Linked DNA regions of Caenorhabditis elegans. The protein of the gene in region 1 purifies or fractionates together with the protein of each later gene. This does not show direct contact. Each region holds a gene or a part of one and is shown on either strand. Other genes may lie near its edges.

What was found.
Region 2: the proteins of klo-1 (region 1) and F39H12.3 fractionate together in Caenorhabditis elegans (co-fractionation; one large-scale study listed by BioGRID). This does not show direct contact.

What each region holds. Positions count from the first base shown.
Region 1 is NC_003282.8:7,739,035-7,749,903, reverse strand, and holds klo-1 (Glycoside hydrolase family 1 protein), read left to right. Parts: upstream 1-1,902; 5' UTR 1,903-1,915; coding exon 1,916-2,003; intron 2,004-2,062; coding exon 2,063-2,328; intron 2,329-2,378; coding exon 2,379-2,632; intron 2,633-2,716; coding exon 2,717-2,861; intron 2,862-2,902; coding exon 2,903-3,044; intron 3,045-3,198; coding exon 3,199-3,328; intron 3,329-3,369; coding exon 3,370-3,581; intron 3,582-3,669; coding exon 3,670-3,872; 3' UTR 3,873-3,925; downstream 3,926-10,869. Other genes in the region: C46A5.4 (Peroxidase), read left to right, coding at 1-45, 106-602, 873-1,021, 1,068-1,290, 1,417-1,690; npr-35 (G-protein coupled receptors family 1 profile domain-containing protein), read right to left, coding at 4,188-4,359, 4,521-4,648, 4,694-4,846, 4,992-5,174, 5,221-5,450, 5,719-6,007.
Region 2 is NC_003284.9:833,624-845,474, reverse strand, and holds F39H12.3 (RIIa domain-containing protein), read left to right. Parts: upstream 1-3,981; 5' UTR 3,982-3,984; coding exon 3,985-4,129; intron 4,130-4,765; coding exon 4,766-4,830; intron 4,831-6,334; coding exon 6,335-6,412; intron 6,413-6,467; coding exon 6,468-6,556; intron 6,557-6,604; coding exon 6,605-6,766; intron 6,767-7,075; coding exon 7,076-7,169; 3' UTR 7,170-7,331; downstream 7,332-11,851. Other genes in the region: F39H12.1 (Pericentrin), read right to left, coding at 7,804-7,857, 7,903-8,013, 8,740-8,895, 8,957-9,184, 9,229-9,377, 9,428-9,692, 10,069-10,129, 10,361-10,433 and 1 more.

The DNA.
Region 1 (10,869 bases):
TTGAAGCAAATAAATAATTTCTGGAGTGACGAGAAGCTCTTCCAGGTTAGTTGCAATTCTTGAATGTTGTATTGAAATTCCTATATAAACCCACCTAGTTTATAGGAATCCCGTCGAATCAACATTGCACAACTTCAACACATTATTTACAAAGAATGGTTGCCAGTGGTTCTTGGTTGCCAGAATATGGAAAAATGGGGTCTAATGCCACAAACAGCTGGATATTTTGAGGGTTACGATGATCAATGTGATGCCACAATATCCCAAGAAATGTCAACATCTGCATTTCGATTTGGACATTCTTTGATCCGTGGTGTATTCACACGAATGAATGACAATTTCCAAAACATGACAAATCATGTAAATTTAACTGAAACTTTTTCGAATCCATCTCCAGTTTACGATAAGAACTCCGGTCATATGGAGTCAATCTTAATGGGATTAATTGGAGCAAACAGTATGGCTTTTGATCGTCATATTGTCACGGCTGTTCGGAATCATTTGTTCGCAAAACCTGGTGGTCCACTAACTGGACTGGATCTTCCAGCAGTGAATATTCAAAGAGGCAGAGATCACGGAGTTCAAGGTTACAATGCATATAGGTTTGTATTTCAATTTAAATTTTATAAAACCGGCAGTAGATGAAAATGCCTACATTTGTGGCGCGAAATGTCTCCAAGCATATCTTTACGTTTTGCGTCAACCGTTTCTGTCATCACAATTTAGCAATTTCCCTAGTTGTTCACTTGGGTTTCTTAGGCGAAATATTTAACACATAATTACGAGATTAAGTGGTTAACCTCGATGGGTATCGGCTGAGCATATTGTTCGCATGTAAACATTTCAAATTTATATTTTAAGAAGTATTTCAGAAAACACTGTGGACTTCGAAAAGCATCGGCTTTCTCTGATCTTCGTGATGTCATGAACTCAGAAGCTGTGACAGCTTTAGAAACAGCTTATGCTCATGTTGACGACATTGACCTGTTCCCGGGAATCATGAGTGAATCTCCAACTAGAGGTGACCCGGAATTTCTACTTGTTGCTTTTTTAAAATAATTATTAAGGCTCACTTGTTGGCCCAACATTAGCATGTCTTATTGGTGAACAAATGCAAAGATTGAAAAAATGCGACAGATTTTATTATGAGACAAGTGATTCAATGGTTCGATTTACTCCAGATCAACTTGTCGAAATTCGAAAAGCCAGTTTGTCAAGAATTATTTGCGATAATAGTGAATATGCCGCAAATATTCAACCCAATGTGTTCCTTATGCCAGACGATCTTACGTAAGTTGGAGATTTATTGAACAGGTCTATAAATGATCATTTTCAGTTTAATAAACATTTTTAAAAAATTTAAAAAAACAGTTTTCTTATTAATAATTAGTTCAAAAACTTAAATATAATTTTCAGAAACTCTCCGATGACATGCTCTGAACTTTCTGAGATTGACCTGAACAAATGGGTTGAACGAGACTATTGCCTTGTTGATGAACGTGTAGTTAATCGTGGAAAAACTAAACGAATAACTCCATGTATCACCTGTACATGTACATTAGAAGGTCCTGAATGTCATTCAATCACAATTGATGATTGTTCTCGTCTTCTTCGTGATTACTCAATCACTGATATTCAAAAGGATCCAGTTTGCCTCATTCAATGCTCTCAGCAACTCAAAAAGCTTTGAAATAATTTATTTATTTTTTATCAAACTCTAATTTTGATATTCTGACCTCTTACAGTATTCGTTCAAACCTTCTGGTATTCCATTTCATGTACATAAATAATATGATTTTCCATACCTCTATTATCAGGCACAAACAATGTTCATTTACATAACCCGATTGAACACAACTGTTGACACACAAAATACCTCTTATCAGTTATCATTCCGTCGATGTCTTGTTCGGTTATGTCTTTGCCAACTAAATTTCCAAAAAATTTCCAATTGGCTACGGCTACCGCGGCGTATCAAATTGAAGGTGCAAAAAATCTAGATGGTAAGTTTATTTTGAATTAAAAATTATTCTTTTAGAAATTTACTTCTGAAATCATTAAGGCCGCGGATTCAGTACTTGGGATTCAATTCGTTCTGAAAATGGTAGAATTCATGATAACTCGGACCCTGATCTTTCCTGTGAAGGTCGTCTAAAATACAAAGAAGACGTTGCTCTTCTCTCAAAAATCGGTGTCACCAGCTACCGATTTTCAATTTCTTGGTCCAGAATTCTTCCAGATGGAACTTTAAAAACAATAAATGAAGATGGCATTCAATTCTATCGTGATATTTGTCTTCTACTACGTGACAATGGAATTGAGCCAATTGTATGTAATAATTTCTTTGAAACATAAAAAAGCGAAAACATGTTATTTAGGTGACACTGTTCCATTTCGACATGCCTCTTTCAATTTATGACAATGGAACATCATGGCTAAACAAGGAGAATTGTGAACATTTCGAGAAATTCGCAGATTTATGTTTCCAAAAGTTTGGAGATCTTGTGAAGACATGGATAACTTTCAACGAAATAAACATGCAGGCTTGGTCATCAGTTGTAAAGATTGAAGGAGAACTTTGGTTATGCCCAGATCGTCCAGAAATCGAGAATCATGAACAAGCACCTTACATGTCAGTTTCTGAAGAAAAAAACCTTTGAAAGCGAAGGAAAAAACAAATGTTTTGGAATAAGCTGATTGAATATTTTATTTTCAGTGCAGCCACCAACATGCTTCTTACTCACGCAAAAATTTATCGAAACTACCAGAAAAACTACAAAGAAACTCAAAATGGCTTGATCGGAATAACAAATGGTGGAAGATTCTGTCTACCTGCTTCAGATTCTCCTGCAGATCTTGATGTTAGTCAAACTATTGACTTCCTTACTTTAATGATTTGCAGGCATGTAATCGAGCGCTGGATTGGCTCTTCAATTATACAATTGAACCAATTTTGACTGATTCCGGAGACTTCCCAGCCTCAATGAGAGAAAAATTACCGTTTCTACCAAAGTTCTCTGAAGAAGAAAAGAAACTCATCAAAGGTTAGCTGTCGATCGGAAATTTTTGATTTTAAAAAGATTAGTTAACTTTTTTTTTCTAAGTTAGCCTTGCACCATATTGGCAGCTCTAAATTCATTTTGCTGATATATTTTACCAATTATAATTTTCAATTTTTTTCAATTATAATTTTTTCAGGAAGCACTGATTTCCTGGGAATAAACTATTATCTCAGCCACATTGTTCGTAATTTAAATGATGGGGAGGAGCCAGCATCTCAATCAGAAAGAGACGCAGCTTATGCGTTTAATGAAGGAAAATGGGAAAAGTTGGTTTTTTCAAGTTCTCCTATAACCAAGAAATTTGCAGAATTTGTGGTGAGACATGGGTTCGTTATGCACCAGACGGTTTGTTCGGGCTTTTGAAATATGTTAGAGACAAGTACAATAATATTCCTGTATTCATCACTGAAAATGGATGTATGGATTTGGTAGGAGGTGAAGGAAGAAAAGAAGAGGAGATACTTGATGATAAGCATCGCATAAAATTTATTTCCGGACATTTGGAAGCGGTAGCTAAAGGTAAATTAAATTTGAAAAAAGTTTCGAAAAATAAAAAAACAATGATATTCAATTAATTTTTGGGAAACTTCGATCACTTGAATTTCAGCACTGGAAGAAGGATGTAATGTCATTGGCTACACACTCTGGACTCTGATGGATAATTTCGAATGGGATGACGGATTCGGTGTTAAATTTGGAATTTGTCGCGTCGATTTTGATTCTCCAGACAAAACAAGAACCATGAAATATTCGGCTAAATATTATCAAACTTTTATTCGCGAATTTAAAAAGCATCATAATCTTTTGTAGAATGGATACAAATGTATTGATAATAAATAGATTGCATGCTAGTAAAAACATTTAAAGCATTTGTGATGGTTGAAACAATAGAAAACACGTGGAAATGGAAAACCGTAATTGAAAAAAGGAACATGGAAAACGTTTAGTTGTAGGAAACAGTTGATTAAAAAAAAACTTTCTCTATTGTTGATTAATACACTACATAATTTTTTAATTCAATCCGTAATAATGTTTTCATGTTTTCGAATACCTAAGATTCTGAAAATGTTTGAACTCCTAACGTTCTAGATATAAAAATATTCATATTCAATGATTTTAAAAAGTTTAACAATCAGAAGTAGATCTTTCCACCTGTTTTCCATCTAGTTCAATAAGTAAACTAGATGCTCCACCTAAATTTGTTGGTTCAGTTCCAAAATTAGACATTGAAATTGTTGCAGTTGATTTGAAGCCACGAGAGTGACGACGGAGTATTGTGCTTCGGACTCTTTCGTATCTGAAAATATACCGATTATTTGAAAATAAATTTAGTCTTAAAAATAAACGTTAGAAACGCATTTTACAGGAAAATGCATTTACAAGAGATAAATAATACATTTGAATAAAACTAATAAATACAAAAGAAGTAAACTAAAAGTGTCAAAAGCTTTTGCTCACCTTGTCTTACATGGCATCAGTAATATACTTTTGAAAGCTCTTCTGTACTTGTGACTGTATGCAATATAAATTATTGGATTTAAAGAACTCGATAGTAATGACATCCATTGGAATATTGGCCGAATCAACTGAAATTCTTGCTTTTTTAATAAGATAAATATGTAAACAGCTACCATTGAAGTAATTTGAAAAAGATCCGATCGCTGATCAGCAAAGAAGAAAAAATATGTGAAGATGCAATAGAGAGGTAACCAGCAACAAGCAAATACAATTATTACTGTTAACATCATTGTGGCAACTCGTAGTTTTACTCGATCTTCTCGGGCCTAAAAATATTAATATCAATTTACACATAGAAATTTAATGGAATCATTCTAATATCTAGTTTTTGCTAAAAATTTAAAAGAGCCTCGTAAAATAATTTCTTGGCTATCGATTTTTTTGATTTGTTTAAAAATATATAAAACTTACTCTTGCATCAACTGCCAGACTTCTATGTGTTGATACAGTGATAAATATTCTCGTGTATAGACCCGAAATCAAACCAAATGGAACTATGAAAGCCAGCAATAAGTTAACAAATAAAAAATATAATTTTTGATCCGTTTGTGACGTACATAATCGGTAACCATAACTGCCTTCTTGCCATACTATCTGAAATGCATTTTTTGAAAAAAAAACAACGATTTTAAATTTATACCAAATCATAGTTATACCAATTAGGTATTCCGAATATTGCAGCTACTAGCCAAACAGCAAATATAACATATTTTGTATATTCTCGATCCCAGCTAGTGTTGTATTTCAACGTATGGCAAATAGCTAGATAACGATCAGCCGTCACTGCAACCAAGGTGTAAACTGATGCAAATGACGTAGATGCGTTAGCCCATGTGGACAATCGGCAGAAAAATTGACCCCAAAGCCATTCTGAAAATATAAAGCTGTTTTCATTAAAAACGGAAATTTTGCCAAAATATCCCTATAATAGTCTTTTGAGAACCACTTTCAAAAAATGTCAAAATTCTCTGTCAAATTGCCAAAAATTTTAAAAATATTTGATTTTTTGAGAAATTTTGAGCACTGCTGCAGAATTCATACAAAGGATACGATTTTTGCTCAATTTCAAAATTTTTGATTCACACCGAAAACTGAGTAAAAAGTTATTCTGGAAAAATAATTTAAAAAATAACCTTACCTGTGAAAATGCTATTAATCAACGTAGTTGGCAGACAAATCCATAAAATAAACAGATCAGCAAGTGCAAGAGACAAAATTAGATAATCCGTGGTTATATTTAAATTCTTATGAGCCCAAACCGCTAAGACAACAAACGTGTTTCCAAGTACACCAGTGAAGAATACAGCTCCATATGCAACTGTATAAAGAACAGTTAGTTGATATGAATGTCTAAGTAGAGGGACTGGTTCAAGTTGTTCAACATCTGCATATAATGGCTCTACAAATGACGTATTCATTGTTTCCATTTGAACAGTTGCAAAAGTTCAAAAATTTGACATTGGCAGTTTTGGAGATTTTCTGAAATAAATGTATCTTTAAATAACCTGCGGAAGTTGAGTAGAGCATCAAAATCAGAATATAACAACTAATAAAATACAAAATACAAATTACTAGAAAAAGAGAGAAAAAAGAGAAAAATGATGATGGATAAGAAAAAGAAGAAGCCGTCTGAAGATAACCCAATGAAATGACGAAATGCATTAGTAGCGTCCCCCAAGAGAAAAAAGTTTCCCAATGAATTAAGGACGAAAATGAAATAGTTTTGACAATGAACTCAGTATCTATCATGTTAAGATATGATATTGCTACCTACAGTTGTGTCTATAATATCCGTTTTCGGGCTTTGCTTATTTGTAGAAAACCCTTGTTCTAACAAACGTTACAAGTGAATATAGCAAGAACGAGATCGCTGAATTCCGGCCGTTGTATCATCTGTCCAGAATGTTGTGAAATGATCAACATTGTTTTAACATGCAGACAACATTATAAACATCAACTTTACAGTTAAACTTTTTAAAGGTTCCACGTTTTTAGTTATACTCAGTCTAAAAAGTTAAAAAACGATTATGTGATAAACGAAGCATGTAGATACTCTTGGACACCATTCTAGCTTTACCCATTTTAAATGTCATTTGATGAATTCCTAAATGTTTCTGTTTCATTTATTGAATAAATAGGGAGGAAGATACTAAAAAACAGTTTTAGTGGGATTTGACCAATCCGTTTCGGATGACACAAACTGAGTTATAATATTGTAGTGTAGAAAAGTGAAAATGTGCTTTGTCATTAATTGATGCTCGTCTTGATTTCTTGTAAATTCTTTTGGCGGCAAGCTCATAGAGCCTAGGATCACATGAAAAGGTGGAGAAGAAAATAGAAAAAGTGTGAAGAAACCGCCCTCTATCATCATCATTGCCGGCACTTCCTTTGCCCCCTGCACCCAAAACTATATTGAGCCAATTACTACTGACTAATAGTTTGAGGACTCTGAGATTCTTGGAAAATCTGAGAAAATATAAAAATAAGAGAAAAGAGCAAAGATACATAAAAAAACATGTGTTGAAACAGAGAGATACGAAAACAGAGAAACTTGTCAAGCGGTCATGATGGGATATAAAAAGAGATGAAGTCACTGGGTAAATAGATTACGGACACTGGAAAACGGACAGAAATGGAATAAAAGTGTTCGTTTGACGGAAATATTTGGGTTCGAGTTGTAAATGTGATTTATATATTGAATTTGGAAGTTTGACAGGGATAATGTTCTTCTCGACCACAATGTAATAGTTTTTAAAAGTGCACTATTGTCTTAAAACACTCCAAAACTTTCTTAGATTTTTCAAAATCTTTAGTCAAAGTCAGCTTGCAAAATTTTCCAACTTTTCAACTTTTCAACAAATCAACTTTTCGAGCATCGCTGTAGGTACTAGACCAGGGGGTGTGCATCAAATCTCTAAATTTGCCGAGCTCGGTGGACAGCAATTTTGGAAAATTTGCCGCACGCCCTTGTGCTAGAGGACTCTGAAAAATTTCCCACGAACTCATCAAATATTCACTAAAAAGACTCCAACAAAAATCCTGACACAATTCTCTTGAATTCGAGACTTTCAGGTAACAACATTATTACGTGAAACTAGAATTTCGGCTCCTTGACTTTTCTAATGTTTTTGAAAAACAACGAAACTTTGTAACAGATTCGAGAAAAATGTCTTGTATTTGAACATTTTGTGAGCCTTTTCGAGCAACATTAAAGTTGAGGGTAAGAATTTTCATATCTCAAAATTTCAAAAAGTACAGAATTATCTCGGAATTATCAATTGGAATAATGTGCATGAATGTTTGATCAGTATCAAGGAATTTTTCAGGCAAATAATGTGTTCATGAAATTTCAGCATGAATAATCAAAATGAGATATTGAAAATATTACTGAAATACTATTTCGCTTAGTTTAGTCCGAAGAAATTTATAGATGATTTCCTAGCAAAATCACAGTTGTTCAAACTTTTCTATCGGGAAGTTTTACAGAAATTTCAGTTTAAACACACTCCAGCTTCATTCATGGTGGAAACAGAAATTAATTGGAAAACAAATAAATTTCACGTTTCAATCTTGTTTTGAAAAAAAACAATTTTTCTCAACTTTCACAATTCGCATACTCTGAAGAATTTTAGAAAATAACACTTATCAGTATAATACAAATATCTCTTTGTCGATAATCCACATTAAATTAATCTTTAAATATCAAAAATGTTTTTGACTGAATCTGCTTTCGAACTATGACATTCGGAAGAAAAAACACAAAATTTCTGACAATAGGTGTCATATTTATTTTTAATTTTGATTTTGACACTTCTTGTTATTTAAACCCATAATGAACTGAATTAGATAAAACTGTCGATCAAAGATAGAAATAGGTGAACGGTAGAACATTTTCAACATCTTCAGAGAAAGATTGCCAAATAAAAAATACCGTAATTTCTCTTGAAAGAAAAACTCGTTTTAAAATTTTTTAACTACATACATTGTCGCTATTAAGTTACTTTCACTCCAAAAAAAGTAAAAATTTCAGAAACTCCAAGAAAATGAAATTTTGTGAGAAAACTTTTTTTAAAAAAAATTTCCGTTTCAAACTAAAATGAAACCAAAATGAGAAGGAGGAGACGGAGTTTTTCGTCAATTCATTTCAACCTCTCCCACTTTTTCCAAACATTTTCTTTGTCTTTCGACCCTTATTTCCATATTTTCCAGTGGCTCCCACACACGTCAAAAAGAGAAGTTAATAGCCGAGACCGACGGAAAACACAAATCTCTGAGAGAATGAATGAAAACGTTGGAATTCGGAGAATTTGTGTTTCTGGAAACTTCAAAAGTATGATTTGAATAGTTTCAACTTGACTTTCACACATTTTTTATTCAAATTGAATTTGAAATGTCTATCTAAAAATCATATAACTTCCATATCAATTTTGATAGCTCAGCTAGTTTCTAGAGAAATTGGGGAAAATGTTTAAAAGTTTTAAAATTTTAGACCCATCATGACCCCTTGGCATAAAAATAGTCCACACAGTTTTGGCATATTTTGACAAAAAATTGAAGTGTTAAAAGATTGAATAACAATGTTTCTATATTTCTTCGAATTCACTTATACATATAAAAGCAAGATTTTTCTTCCGAGACAGCTTGAACTTCTTAGAACTTGTTTTTTTTTCAGTTTTTGAGAAAACTAGTAAAAGAAGAATCAAATAGAGAGATTCCCCAATGGGACACTTGAAATAAACCATAGTTTACTCTTGACATGTATACACCTTTTTGATTTATTGCTGTCATTTGTTGGCAATGTTCCAAATATAGGAAAATATGAGAAAAAGATGGAAAGAATTGGCCATAGAAATGAGGACTACAAAAGACTGATTGCTCTTGACTTGTTCTTTTAAACAAAAAAAGAAAGAAACAGTGTAAACTAGACATCAAAAATCAGAAAATAAATGAGAAGTCCCTAAATTTTAAAATATGAAATACTCGTCTTAACACAAGGATTAACATTTCAAAAATTTATACTGTGCGCGCTTCAAAGTTTTGAAACATTTTTCATCATTTTTTTCGAAGTTTTGAAGTTTTCTCAAACAAATCCCAAGTATGATCCTTTTGAAGAAGTTTCGAATAATGGAATCTAATAGCCTCGCTTCAAAAAATGCACGTTTAAAAGAAATGTGCAAAAGCTCACTTGAACCTTCATTTTTGCGCAACCTTTTCTTGCAAAGCCGGGTTTTTCCCTTTCTATGAGAAACTTTTAACAAGAGTGAAAGTTTGAAATGAAAGGAAAGTTCAGAAAACATAAAATCAAAATTTTTTTTTCCAGAAAAAAAGAACATGAATTTTCAAGAAGTTCTCAATGGATTATACTGGATCATTTTAAAATCATCAAAATTTTGCATTAATTCACTTTTGGAGCAACTTTATTGCAAAAATGAACTGAGCAAGTTTCAGATCGACTTTTTTAAAGTTCAATTTGCTTATCTGCTGCTAAACCTTTTGTAGTGACTTATTTTTAAAATACACTTTTGAATGGCATTCGTTCAAATTTTTGAAAATTGCAGTATCACGGTAAGTTTACATAGACCTCACAGTTAATTAAGAAAAAGAGAGCGAAGAAATCGAAACAAATTTTGAAAACGTTTTTTCCAGTTTTGTATGATTTGATCTTTCTGATCATTAAATATACACAACAAGTCGGCATTTCCTTATTTATACAACCTGAGAAAATTAATGTGTCTCGAAATCGGAAATAAGCAACTTCCTCGGATTTTGTTGTTTTCTAGAATTTTCTAGGCTTCTTTATTTCTACGATGTTATTTCAAAATAATTTTGATTGGACAAATACTTATTCTAATGAACAATCACCGGTGTTTTAGAAACACATCACCCTAGAAATGGACTTTGTTAACTGAAATTCGGATCTCTAATAAATAGAAATTGATTACTAAGTTGTTTATATTACTTAAATCTATCACTATCACAAATGTCTACTTTCTTCCTGTCAATAACATGAGAAATACGAGGCGTCAAACCGAAAACGTGTGCGTTTGAGAGTAGCCGTCGACAGAAATTTTGGGGCCAGTATATATGGCAACAACAAAATCTAGTTAGGGAAAAGCTTCTACGTCTTTGCCCATCTTCTCTGGAAGAAAGCGTAAAAATTTGCCAACAATAACCGAAGCTAACAAATAAATGCACACCGAAGAATAAGTTGTTGGAAACTTGGGGAAAAAAAGAGAGGCATATAAAGAAATGTTAGAAAGTATTCTGAAAATAGAGAAGGTTGGACAAG
Region 2 (11,851 bases), on another chromosome or scaffold:
TCCAGTAAGAACAATGTTTGAAATAACTTGTACATTGCTAAAATGTCTAGAAAAATTTAGGTAAAGCTTTAAAAAATATTTTTGAAGTTTTTAACATTCGAAAACAAATACTCAATTTTTGCCGATCATGGTATGCCGACCAAATAAAAATTCTCTACAAATTTGAAATGTTTCAGATAATTGCACGCAGAGTTTGGCAGTCAAATATGCACTATTCTTTCTTGAAAATTAACAATAAATTTATTACTTCTAGATAAAGTTTAAAAAAACTGGTTTCCTTTTCAGCATATTTCATAAATTTATAGTTTCATTTTCCGTACATTTTTTAAACTTAAAAAATTATAGTATTAATTCTTGATCATTTCCTAAAAATTTAAAAAATCATAATACAATCTGAGTTTTTTGATGACACACTCGGTCCCAAATGCAACTTTACTCTCTCAGCCTCTTGGCTATACACCCACGTAGTATACATTCCAAATTCTCAGAATTTCCCTCTGCTAAACACTTTTTATGAATTCATCCACCCATATACGTATTCACTTGACTCCTTCTCAGATCTCTTCCGTCCAGTCGCAATTTTATTAGAAATCATATGGGGCGGTTGCTCTTGGTTGCTTCGGGCTTCCTGCTCCGTGTGTGCAGGATGAAGAAGCCACGGGGCAAAATGGGAAAAGCCGACCCCACCGGAGCCGAGATGAAGGAAAAAGGGAGGGGCAGGAGACGGGGGCAGATCGTGTGAGAGCAAGAGCAACATTTCTTGTCGATATCTCCATCTCTTGCCTCCCTCCCTCATTGAAGCTCTTTTCCTTTCTACCTCACACGGCACCCGCCTCCTTTGGCTTCACATTGAATTTGTTCAGTGAATAAAAAAGTAGTAAATTGTAAACCTAACAAGTTTCTTTTTTTCTTTCGTTTTTTCTTAATACTCCGAGCCTTCTTTTTTCGTACTTGTGTGTTGCTTATAAAGCTACCGTAATCTCAACTTTCAATTTTTCCATTAGAACTATACATTAGATGATTGCAGTTCTATTTTTTTGAAGTTTATTTTGCAAAATTGTCAGTGCAATAAAAAAAGGAATTTTCAATAAATGCTGGGATTTTTTCACGAAGGAAACTTTTTATTTAACTTAACAAAATTTTTTGTTCTAACAAAAAGTTACACCAAAAATGATCTACTTTCCATACTTAAATTTTTCAGAGTACTCTAGACTAGACTTAAACTAGGTATGTAAAATTTATTAAAAGATTTAAATGTCTATTTTTGATATTTTTGGTGTGCTCAGATGTAGATGTAGATTCTGAAAGCATTTTAAGTATTTCAATGTTTTGAAAAAAAAAAAATTTCGCTCATTTTTTTCATTCAAAAAAATGTTTTCTTCGATAAAAATATATAATTATTTTGAAAAAGTTTTAACAGATTTCTAAACATCATCAAATAGTAACAAAACATATAATAAGTAGCTTTAGGAGTAATTCTAGAGGCCCCGGAAAAATTTCGTATCGACATTCAGAAAGTGGAAAGTCTTCCGCTTAAAATTGTAAAGTTAGTCAGTTTTTCCCCTTCTTTAATACTTGTACTTATCAGTGCAGTTAGAAATAAGATATTCGTTTTTGTCAGTGCACTTTTAGTATTGGTCAGTGTATTTACCGTTTTGGTCAGTGCAAGCACTACTTTGGTCAGTGCCTACATGCGGTCCAAGCAAAATCCTATTTTTTCCAATAAACTTATTTCTTTCATTTTCAAAAATGTACTCAACATATTTTATATCTAGATCCCCGTTTTCACTTTCAATCCATTAAAACTTGAGAGTTCTTTGTTCATGATTAAGTCAGCTGAGCTCTTCGTCTCATTTTTCCTCCCCCATGTTTAATTTGAGAAAAACAATTTTCAATTTGCGAAACTAAAACCTAGTTTCTCCGAATAAAATTCTTCAATTGTTTCCCTCCGCTTAGTGTTCAGACATTCAACGCGCTCTGCTCTATCTACACAAACCCCCTCCTTCTGTTAATTTCCCGAAATTTCGTCTAAATTTCTCGCAAAAAAAAACGAAGGCAATGAGAGAGATAGTGTAGTGCTCCTAAGCTCTGGTGAGCAAGAGCACAAGAAAAATCGATGTCGCCCAGATTTCCGGCAGTGTCTTTGACGTTTTTGGAGAAGAAGGAAGCTTAGTGAAAGAAAACATCTAAACATGACAAACGTTTTTTTTCTGTTCGTTTTTTGTCTTCCCGCTTCCGATTTCATCTCATTCTGCTGCTTTCGCACAAAATCATTTTTTCTTGGTTTCTGAAAAGTTTTCACAACAAGTTTTAGTATTGGTTTGTTATACGGAAAAACATTTGTCTTCCTTATCAGTTGCTGGTAAAATTGGAAATCATTTCGATTTTTTTCAATTATATCTAACGGTTAGCTATACCTCTGTGTGAGGTTTTCAACGGCAAATACTTTGATTAAAACAAAAGTCAAGCATTTCAAACAAAAGTCAAGCATTTTGACCACGAGAAAAGGTTTACAACTTATGTAACTTTGAAATTTTGTCTGAAATTCTGATCAACTGATTTTACAAATCTCAAAAACGCTGGTTAACAGCAGCAAAAATGGAATACTTTCTGAGAACCTAACTAACTAAAGATTTTTTGGTATGTGTGTTGTATACCTAGCTCTTCCAGAAATATTTTCCAATTAGAAACGTGGAATTCATTCGCATTTTTAGCCTTAGAAAAACACTTCTCCTAAGCCTAACTTTGATAAAAAGAGCCTTTATCATTTCAACTAGAAAATAATAGTATTTTGTCAAATCGAGCTAGATTTTTTATTGAATTTAGAATCACCATAGCAATAGCGTTCATAAGTTTTATCACTAATCCTATAACATTTTAGATAACAAATGTTTTTCAATCAATCAATGAGGAGAATTATATGTAAAAACTTAAGATCTACCACGACTAGTAAAAATAAGATTTCAACTTTGATATGCCAAATTTAAATAGCTAATCATATTTTTGTGATACGAAATCATAAAATGACTATTAGTATAAAATTGTGCTAAAAGTTTTGCTTCAGAGTTAAAAAATAAACCCTTGGTCCAACGCCGTGCCACTTCAGCCATTTTTATGAAACGGTCTAAAAATTAAAAATAGCCGGTTGAAAATTATTTTTTTTTTTTCAATTGTCAATGGCAAAGTTTCCTAATATTTTATAATGTGAGTACCATGTTTAGAAATTTGAAAAGAAGCAAGCATCATTTTTCCCATAACATTTTGAAGTTTGATGTCAACAATAACTCTGCCAAATATGAATTAGTATGAATTGGCGTCTGCCCATTACCGAACAGCTCTGTGTTTTTAACCAAATTTAAACAACGTTTTACATGCGAAAGTTTCTTTACACTGTGTTTTATATTTTTCACGTCAAATACTATTATTTTAAATTTTTTCAATACACACCACTATGCTTTGTCACTAAATTATTTATATCTGAACAACCATAAACTAATATGTCAATCAGCGCAAACTAAAAATTTCTTTATAATCTTTTCGTAATCCAATCATCTCCAGACTAGATTTGTATCACCAAGCCAACTAAAAATTATTTTAGTTTTCTGAAAAAAACCTCATGTTATATAACTTTACAAGGCATACTATTAGAATTCCGTATATTTAAAAATTACGAATTTGTTGGTTTTCTTTCAGTTTCCTACAGTGTATCACAACAATTTATTGCTGGTTCAGACATTCTTTTTGATAGTTTTTGTGAAAAGAAAAATCAACAGGGTTAAAAAATGAATCAAATAAACTGTGATCTACGAACAAGTTGCACAACTTCCCACAGATACTCTCAAAAATAAATTCTGAACTCGCGGTAAAACAATATTGCATAAAAGTTCCAACTTTCAAGCTCATAGATCTTACCGCTTTTAAAAAAACGTGTTTAAGCTTAGCAGTTTTCTAAAATCTAGTCCTATACTATACATTTTTCAGGCAATGGATCAGCGGAATAAGTGCTTCGTTCCCCACGATCTTCGCCCAATTTTGGAAGCGTTGGCGCGTGAAGTACTCCGAAGTCAACCATCGGATGTGGCCGAGTTTGGCCACATGTTTTTCGATGAGTACTTGAAACATCGCAGAGGTGAACTTTTGGTCATATATTTTGGTGGGAAAAGTAGGCTGGGGAAAAGAATCCGTTGAATTATTTACGAGATTCTAGTTATTTTTCCATTGATATCCAGATTTGCAATAAGGCACGCACACGCATGAATGAGATGTGAAATTGTTTCCCTGGACTTTCATATTTTGAGCTTGAGCATCATTGTGCCGCAATTTTCCTTCAAGTTTTGTGTAGGATTTTGCTAATTATAAAATGCATGCAAGTAAAATAAAGTTTCTTTCGAAGAAAATCAGAAAGTACATATGAAGTATTTCCCCTGTTTTACTAAACAAATACCGACTTATTCATATTAAAACTGCACTTTTAAAAAAAAGTTTTGGATTAAAAATAGAACATCAATTATTAGTAATATGCACACTAGAACATTTTCCCAAGTATTGTTTTTGACAAGAATTTTCATAGTGTGTCTATTTTTCCTTCAAAGAATTGCAAGTTTAATGCACCAATTGAAAAAAGGTAGACTCAGTGCAGTTCAAAGAGAGCAAAATTTATCAGGCGTATAAACATTTAATTTCGAACAAAAAAATTTACTGTTAAGTGAAAATTTCAACTTGAATTCAATTTGAATCAAAGATAATTCCCACATTTTTTTTTCAGAAAACAGGAACATTCTAAAGGATCCAGCGGCTTACGAAGTTTTCCGTGCTGATCTCCAGAAGAAGGTAAGATATAAAAATTTATAATTTCCACAAAAAAAACAAAAACTAATACTATAATTCGTGTGGCTTTATCGAAGTTTATTCCTTTCAGATTTGTTTTTTCACTGACTCAGTCAACTATTTTATTTGAATTTTTCAAAATAGGAAAATAAAACACGTAAAAAACATAAATTGCCTTTGTTACAACAAAGTATACTCTAACGTGACTTTCTCCTTAATCTCGTAGCTCTGGCGTGTTAGTTTGGTCAAATTGGATGTTTATGTCAAATGACACTTTTTCTGACTTTGAGAGTAGATACACGATACATTTTTGAGCACGACGTTTATTTGAGGATTTTCCCGCTGTTTCATATTTAATCGTTTTTTTTTTGGAAATTTTTTCAACCTTATAAGTGGTGTCATAATTCGACATCTAAATTCATTTTAAAAATAATTTCAACTTTTGGGAAGAACAGAGTTTAAAAAAATATTTCTCGTTTTTTCATGAAACGGAAACTAGATATAAGATACCAAAATCCGCATCTGGTAAAAACAGTTTTCTTCTCACACTAACTAGTGAAGGAACATACATTTCGGTAAACTTTTAGAAAAATTTTTTTAATTCAACATAAAATGATACACTGGACTCTGTCTAAAGCGATAAGTGGGAACTCTAAAACTTTTATTACTTACCTACTCCTTACATTTCAAAAATACGCAAATACTTGTTTGCTTTTTGAAACTCTAAAACTAAAAAAAAACTTTGATGCTAGGAAAGTCAGAATATGGAAACTTTTGCGTACATTTGAGAATAGCGAATAAAAAATTAGAAAGCGTTGCCAAACATAGATTTATTCGTGAACTTTGGTTCCAAAGAGTCGAAAAATGTCATATAGAGACTCAATCATTTTTTTCTGACTTTGAAAGTAGGTACATTTTTGAGATGAATTTTCAGTTTTAGTGTTTTCATATAAGAGAGTAATTTTTATATTTCTGAGTGATACATGATCTGATAGTGAGATCAAAAACTAAAATTTTCTCAGAAACATTAAATTTCCCGAGAATTTTTAAAATTTGTTTAAAGACGTTGTGCGCTGACTCAAAAATTACATTAATAAGATTTTTTAGACCATGCTCCCCCCTTTGCAGTTTCCGGCAAACCTAACAGGAATTTATTTTTGTGTTTCATTTTGACGTTTACAACTAAATAGCTAAAGAAACACCGAAAAAAGCTTTTCAATATTGTGGGAAAATCAATTGAAATATTTGGAAAATTTTAAAAAATCGTTAATAATTAAGAAATATTTTTTAATTTAAAATTGTGACATAATCGCTATACTGAGACTTTATTTTGTCATTCAAATCAAAATCCCACAGACGCTATTCCACATTTAAGTGTTTTAAAATTTGAAATGAAACAAATTTGTTGGATGATTTGCACGCTACCACCAAGAATATTATATTTTTAAGCCACATGACTCAGTGAATATCAAAACAAATTCAACGCGCCAAACTTTTCTCATTTCAGTTTGCTGAAGTTGAGCGACCAGCCAGTCCAATGGACACTGCCGCAACTAAAATTCAAGCCGCTTTCAAAGGACACTTGGTTTGTTTTAATCCTCTGCCTTGTAGTATGTAAGTATTACTGTGTAAAGTTCCAGGTCCGCGCTCACCCAGAAAAGTATGGAATGAGCACTAGAACTTCTTCTTCTGAGAAGCTTGATTCTGCCAACAACAAGAAAGATCAAAAGTGAGTACTACATAATAGAATAGAAATGTCTGAACTAAATGAATTTAGGCGTCATTCCGTGGGAGGTTACACCATTGATGTGGACACTCCGGAAGACAGAGCCGCGACCAAGATTCAATCTGAAATTCGCGGATTTCTTACTCGCAAGCACGTTGATAAGATGAAGAAGGAGGATACTGACGCGGCAACTAAGATTCAGGCACATATTAGGTTTGTTAAAAATATTTGTGTTGCTTCTTGAAATATCAGTAATAGTTACTTATACCCTTGCAAAAAATTTCTGAATGTGTTATAGAACGTCATAGGTTAAGTAGCACTGTTTTATGTTTTATTAGATTGAATGCAGAAGACAGTATTTTACAGGGAATTGTTTATTTTATTTAAACTAACTGCTGGAGACCTACTTGCTATAAAATTGAAGTTTGATAATTTTTGAGACATTTGAAGTAAATCAAACGGTACCTGAAAATGTTGCGAGTGATATATATGACAAACTTAGCAACTCCAAGTCTTTTTCAGAGGCTTCTTGACACGAAAACACTTGGACGAACAGGGCCTATCTCCATCCAGAAGTCACTCTTCCCTTCAATCCGACCATTCTGATCACAACTAAAAAAACCATATTCGAAATTTTTTCACAGCGCAGACTTTCCAACGAATTCATGCCCAGAGATTAATATTATTTCTGTCTTCAAATTTTCTAACTTTTATTTTTCTAACTTCCTATCGTATACACTCGTCGTCATTATCTCTTAATAAATAAACCAACAAACAATGTTCATTTCATGATTTCACTATCAAAGTCTTATCCGAACAAATGAATAAAAAAAAAGACAACTGTTAGTGAGTTCTAAATTTTGTCAAGAAATATTTTTGGTGAATGTTTTTTTTTTCAAAATTTTTAAATTTCGGTACTTGTGTAATATACGTGGGCAACCTTTTTTCTTCATATTAAGCTAAAATGGAAATCAGTTTTCCGTTTGGATTAATTCAGCATTTTCAGAAGAAATGAATGGAAACCGTATTGGAATATACTGTTGGGCCAGGTTAACTACAAAAAACAAAAATTGTTATAGTTCTTTGGCTGAAAAGTAATTTTTAAGTAAACCCTTCATTCAATAACCAAAAAATTCAAATTGAAAGCCAAATCGGAATCAAAAACTAAAAAAAAGACATTTCGGATCAACTGAATATCACATATAAAATCTACATAATTAGTAATCAATTGAATAAACTTGTGAAAAATGCTATGTAGAACCCTTTTCATCTGATTGTGCAATATTGTCCGTGAGAGCCAACGCCTGAAAAGGGAAGTAAAATCTTGTTGTTTCGATGATCCAACTTACTTGTTGCTTCAAAATATCTTTCAATTCTTCGTTGTCCACGAGGATTTCATCAAGTTGCTCGATCTTTTCACCATGCATGATTAAGGTCTCATTGAGTTGTTCTTGCAGCCTCTAAAAAATTGGATTGCTGTTTGAAATTGGGGAAAAAAATTGGGATTTTCGGAAGTTCTTATCACTTGTAATCCTTTTCCTTCACCGTTTTTTTGTAGTTCACAGTGATGATTGAAAACACGCTTATTTTATTGAAAACATTCAAATTATTCTTGAACAAAATCTCAGCCTAAGTTATTCGTACAGTGTCGGCCCTGGAGCAATGAATCGAAGTTTAAAGAGATTTCACTTTACACAGTAAGAGCTTCGAGCGAAGCCTCAAACCTGAATAGTCAAGTTTTCTAAACATATACCCCACTCCTGAAATAATTTCAAAGAGATCTCGAATAACCCGTTAACAGGTTCGAGGCGAAGCCGAGAACCTGCGCCAGCTACCTTGCTAATAACTTAAAGCGAATTAACCCTATCCCCATTCCCGAAGGGCTGGCGGGCCCATATATCCGCTAGTCAATTAATCATATTCAAATATTTTCAGTGTTCAAACCTGCATTAATGCTCGAAATCATTCAAAAATTACACATCTTTGAATAATTTTGTCATTTTATAAAAACTTTAATTTAAAACTTTGAAACATCTAAACAAAATTTAAATATCGTAATAGGATCTTTTCTCGTGCTGGACTATTCAGCGTGTATTTAGATTAGATGGCGGTATTAACCTCCGAAATAATAATTAATCTAATATGCAAAAACCGATATTTGCCCAAACGATTTATTTTTATCTCACCTCAATTTCCGCTTTATCACTTCGTCTCTGCGCCAAAAGAAGTCTCTTTTCCATCTCTAATTGTTCAATTATCTGCAGAAGGTCGGTCACATTCCCGTTCTTGCCATTTGGAGAAGATGCGATTTCCTTTTCTTCTCTCTCCCACCGATGGCTTTCCTAAAACATTGATTTACGAGTACGGTTGTGCAAAAAATTGTCCATTAGAGCAAAAACTCACATCAATGTATACTGATTTAGTTTGTGTAGATTCATCATGTTTGACGACTTGATTCGTTTGCTCCCGAGACTTGTTTTCACAGTTACAGGGTAATTGTATAATCTTCGGTGATGAGGATTTCCTCTTCGCTTGATTCTCCAAGCTTCTTTTAATTTCTGCTCCAAAAGTTTCGAAATCACTGATAAATGTTTCTTCTGTTTTTTGTAGCGCACCTTTCATTTGTGAGATCTAAGACAATAGCCTAATTTTCAAAATTTTTTCAAAAAAAATACCTGGTTTCTAAAATATTGAAGTACATCTTGAGTTCTGTGCCACGAATCTGTGCTATTTTGGTACTTTTCCTCTAATTCAATTTTCTCCTTTGTTAATTGGGAGCAAGTATGTTTGAGATTTGAGATTTCTTGATGAAAGTGATCCCGTTCTGAAAAATTTAGTCATTGAATCTATATTTTCTAAAAAAGTATTTCTTACCTTCACTAAGCATGTTCACAACTTTTTCATTCACGGAAAATCTATTTTCCTCCATTTCTCTCTCAAGATTTGCATGGCTGTGTTGTAAGAATTGATTTGCTTTTTTGTACTCCGTTAGTTCCTTCCGCAATCCATAAATTGCTTGGTTGAGAATTTCTTCAGGATTTGGTAATGTTACTTCTGGCACAGCAACTGGAGCTGGAGCCGGTGCTGGAGCAGGTGTCAGAGCTGCAGCGGGGCTCACAACACTCGATATTGAGATATCCTGTAATTTTTAATAATATATGTATTGAAAAATGATAATTAGTATTGTACTTGATTACTAAGTTTTGCTGTTTACTAGTATATTGTTTGTTGAAAAACGTTCTACAAATTTCAAAACGGATTGGGATCCGATCTGATAAAGTTTGATGTTTTTCTAATCCCTGACTTGCTCTGAGACTTCGCCCCGAAACAAAATCATTATTCAAATCACAATCTAAAATTCCATCACTCTAAATTTAAATCTAGTTTCTGCCGCTTCACATCTTGTCTAGGATTTCCCTGATACCTTGTTCAAGATCAGATCATTGTCTTGTCTTAGCGAAAGTGACTTTCTGTGTGTTATGTATACTATGATGTCATTTAATGTAGCTACTCACCGTATCAAACTCCATTGGTATTATTCGTAATCGATCCGGTGACGCTGTCCGTGAAGATGCTCTGAAGTTATGTTTTCTTTTAGTCAGTAGATCTACCAGTAATGTCAGTGCAACTGTTAGTTTGGTCAGTGCAACTGTCTAGTTGGTCAGTGCAACTGTCAACTTGGTCAGTGCAACTGTCAAGTTGGTCAGTGCATAATCCAAGTTGGGTTAGTGCACTCATAATTATAGTCAATACATCCACAAATTTATCATTATGGTCAGATTATTGTTATGTTTACATAATTCTTACCTTGTTAAATGTTCAATGTCCGATGAAATAATTGTTTGAATATCATCTCCAATATATCGATTATTATGAAATGCTAGAAAACGGGAACTAATTATTAATATTTATTCATTTAAATTTAAGAAAAACTTACGCGGTAAAACAGGTTCCAACATAACAATATCGTCAGCTAATGGCTCGGACCCTTGTGACGGAGATGAGCATTCCTGCTCAGCATGAACTTCATCTGGCACATCAACTTCAACCTCGGCTGCTTCTGGCCTGATATCCAACACCTGATCAATTCGTTTTTGTGCTTGAAGTATTGCTTCTTTCCAATTAACATTCATTGTGCCTGAAACTGACTAAAAAGGTAAAATAGAACAGACAAAAGCTGGTAAATAAGAAGCGTGTTGTGTAAAGTTCTGACGGAAGGAGAAAAGATGAATCAGATAAGCAGTGACGGAATTTAGTGGAATCCACGTTTTATTGGGTTGAACAGAGGAAATGGAAGAGACACATTGTGTCGTGGAGAAACCTAGGCCAGGAGGTATTGGGATAACAAAATTGTTGTGTTGAATAAATATTAAAATATAAATATAACAATACAATTTTAAGATTTCAAAATTCAAATGAAAACTTTCTGATTAGGTATATTGAAAATTTTAACAAATCAACAGTTAAATAAATTTCAAGAAAATAAATTGGCATTGGAGTTTCGATATAAAAATACAGTCGAAATATAACTTCCCTTATTTTTCAAAATCAAATGTACTTATAAAATGCAAAAATTCTATAAAATCTTCATTTTCATGTTGCCAAAAAATAAATCAATAGCACTACGCGTCAAGAGGAACTAGAGAGAGAGTGGAGGGGCAGAATGTTGAACAGCTGTCCTAAACATAACTAGCTGACTGAGGAGGAACAATAAATTATGAATATTTATTTTTGTAGAAAAACGATAATATTCAATTTATTCAACTTGACAAAGCGAATAAGAACATAATCAAAAATTTTCAGGTTAAAAAATGTCAGTTTTGTCAGTTTTGGGAAAATAGGGTATAATTGTGTTTTAAAGGCTATTGCTGATAGTGAGAAATTATTTTTTAAGACGTTTCAACTTCTAGAAATGTATACCGTATTTCCTCTGTTAGTCTTGCATGCAAGACTAAATTTCAATTGGTCCGTAGGGGTGCCAGACTAACAGAGGAAATACGGGATTTCTAGTATTTGGAGTGTTTCATGAGTTAGAATCAATAAAACCTTCATTTTTACAGCAATATTTTGAAGCTAGTATACATTTTTTAGCAGAATCCTGTTTTGTTTAGAAAACACATAAAAGAATAACAAGTTCATTCATTTACTAATATTGATGGAATTCATTCAAAATGGAAAAAGAGAGAATGCACAGAGAATTCATAATCGAATGCCAGAATTTAAAAGAATAATACATTTTTGAGAAATTATATAATTATTATATTATTAGTCTTGCGAAGCAATGCTTTGACAACTCAG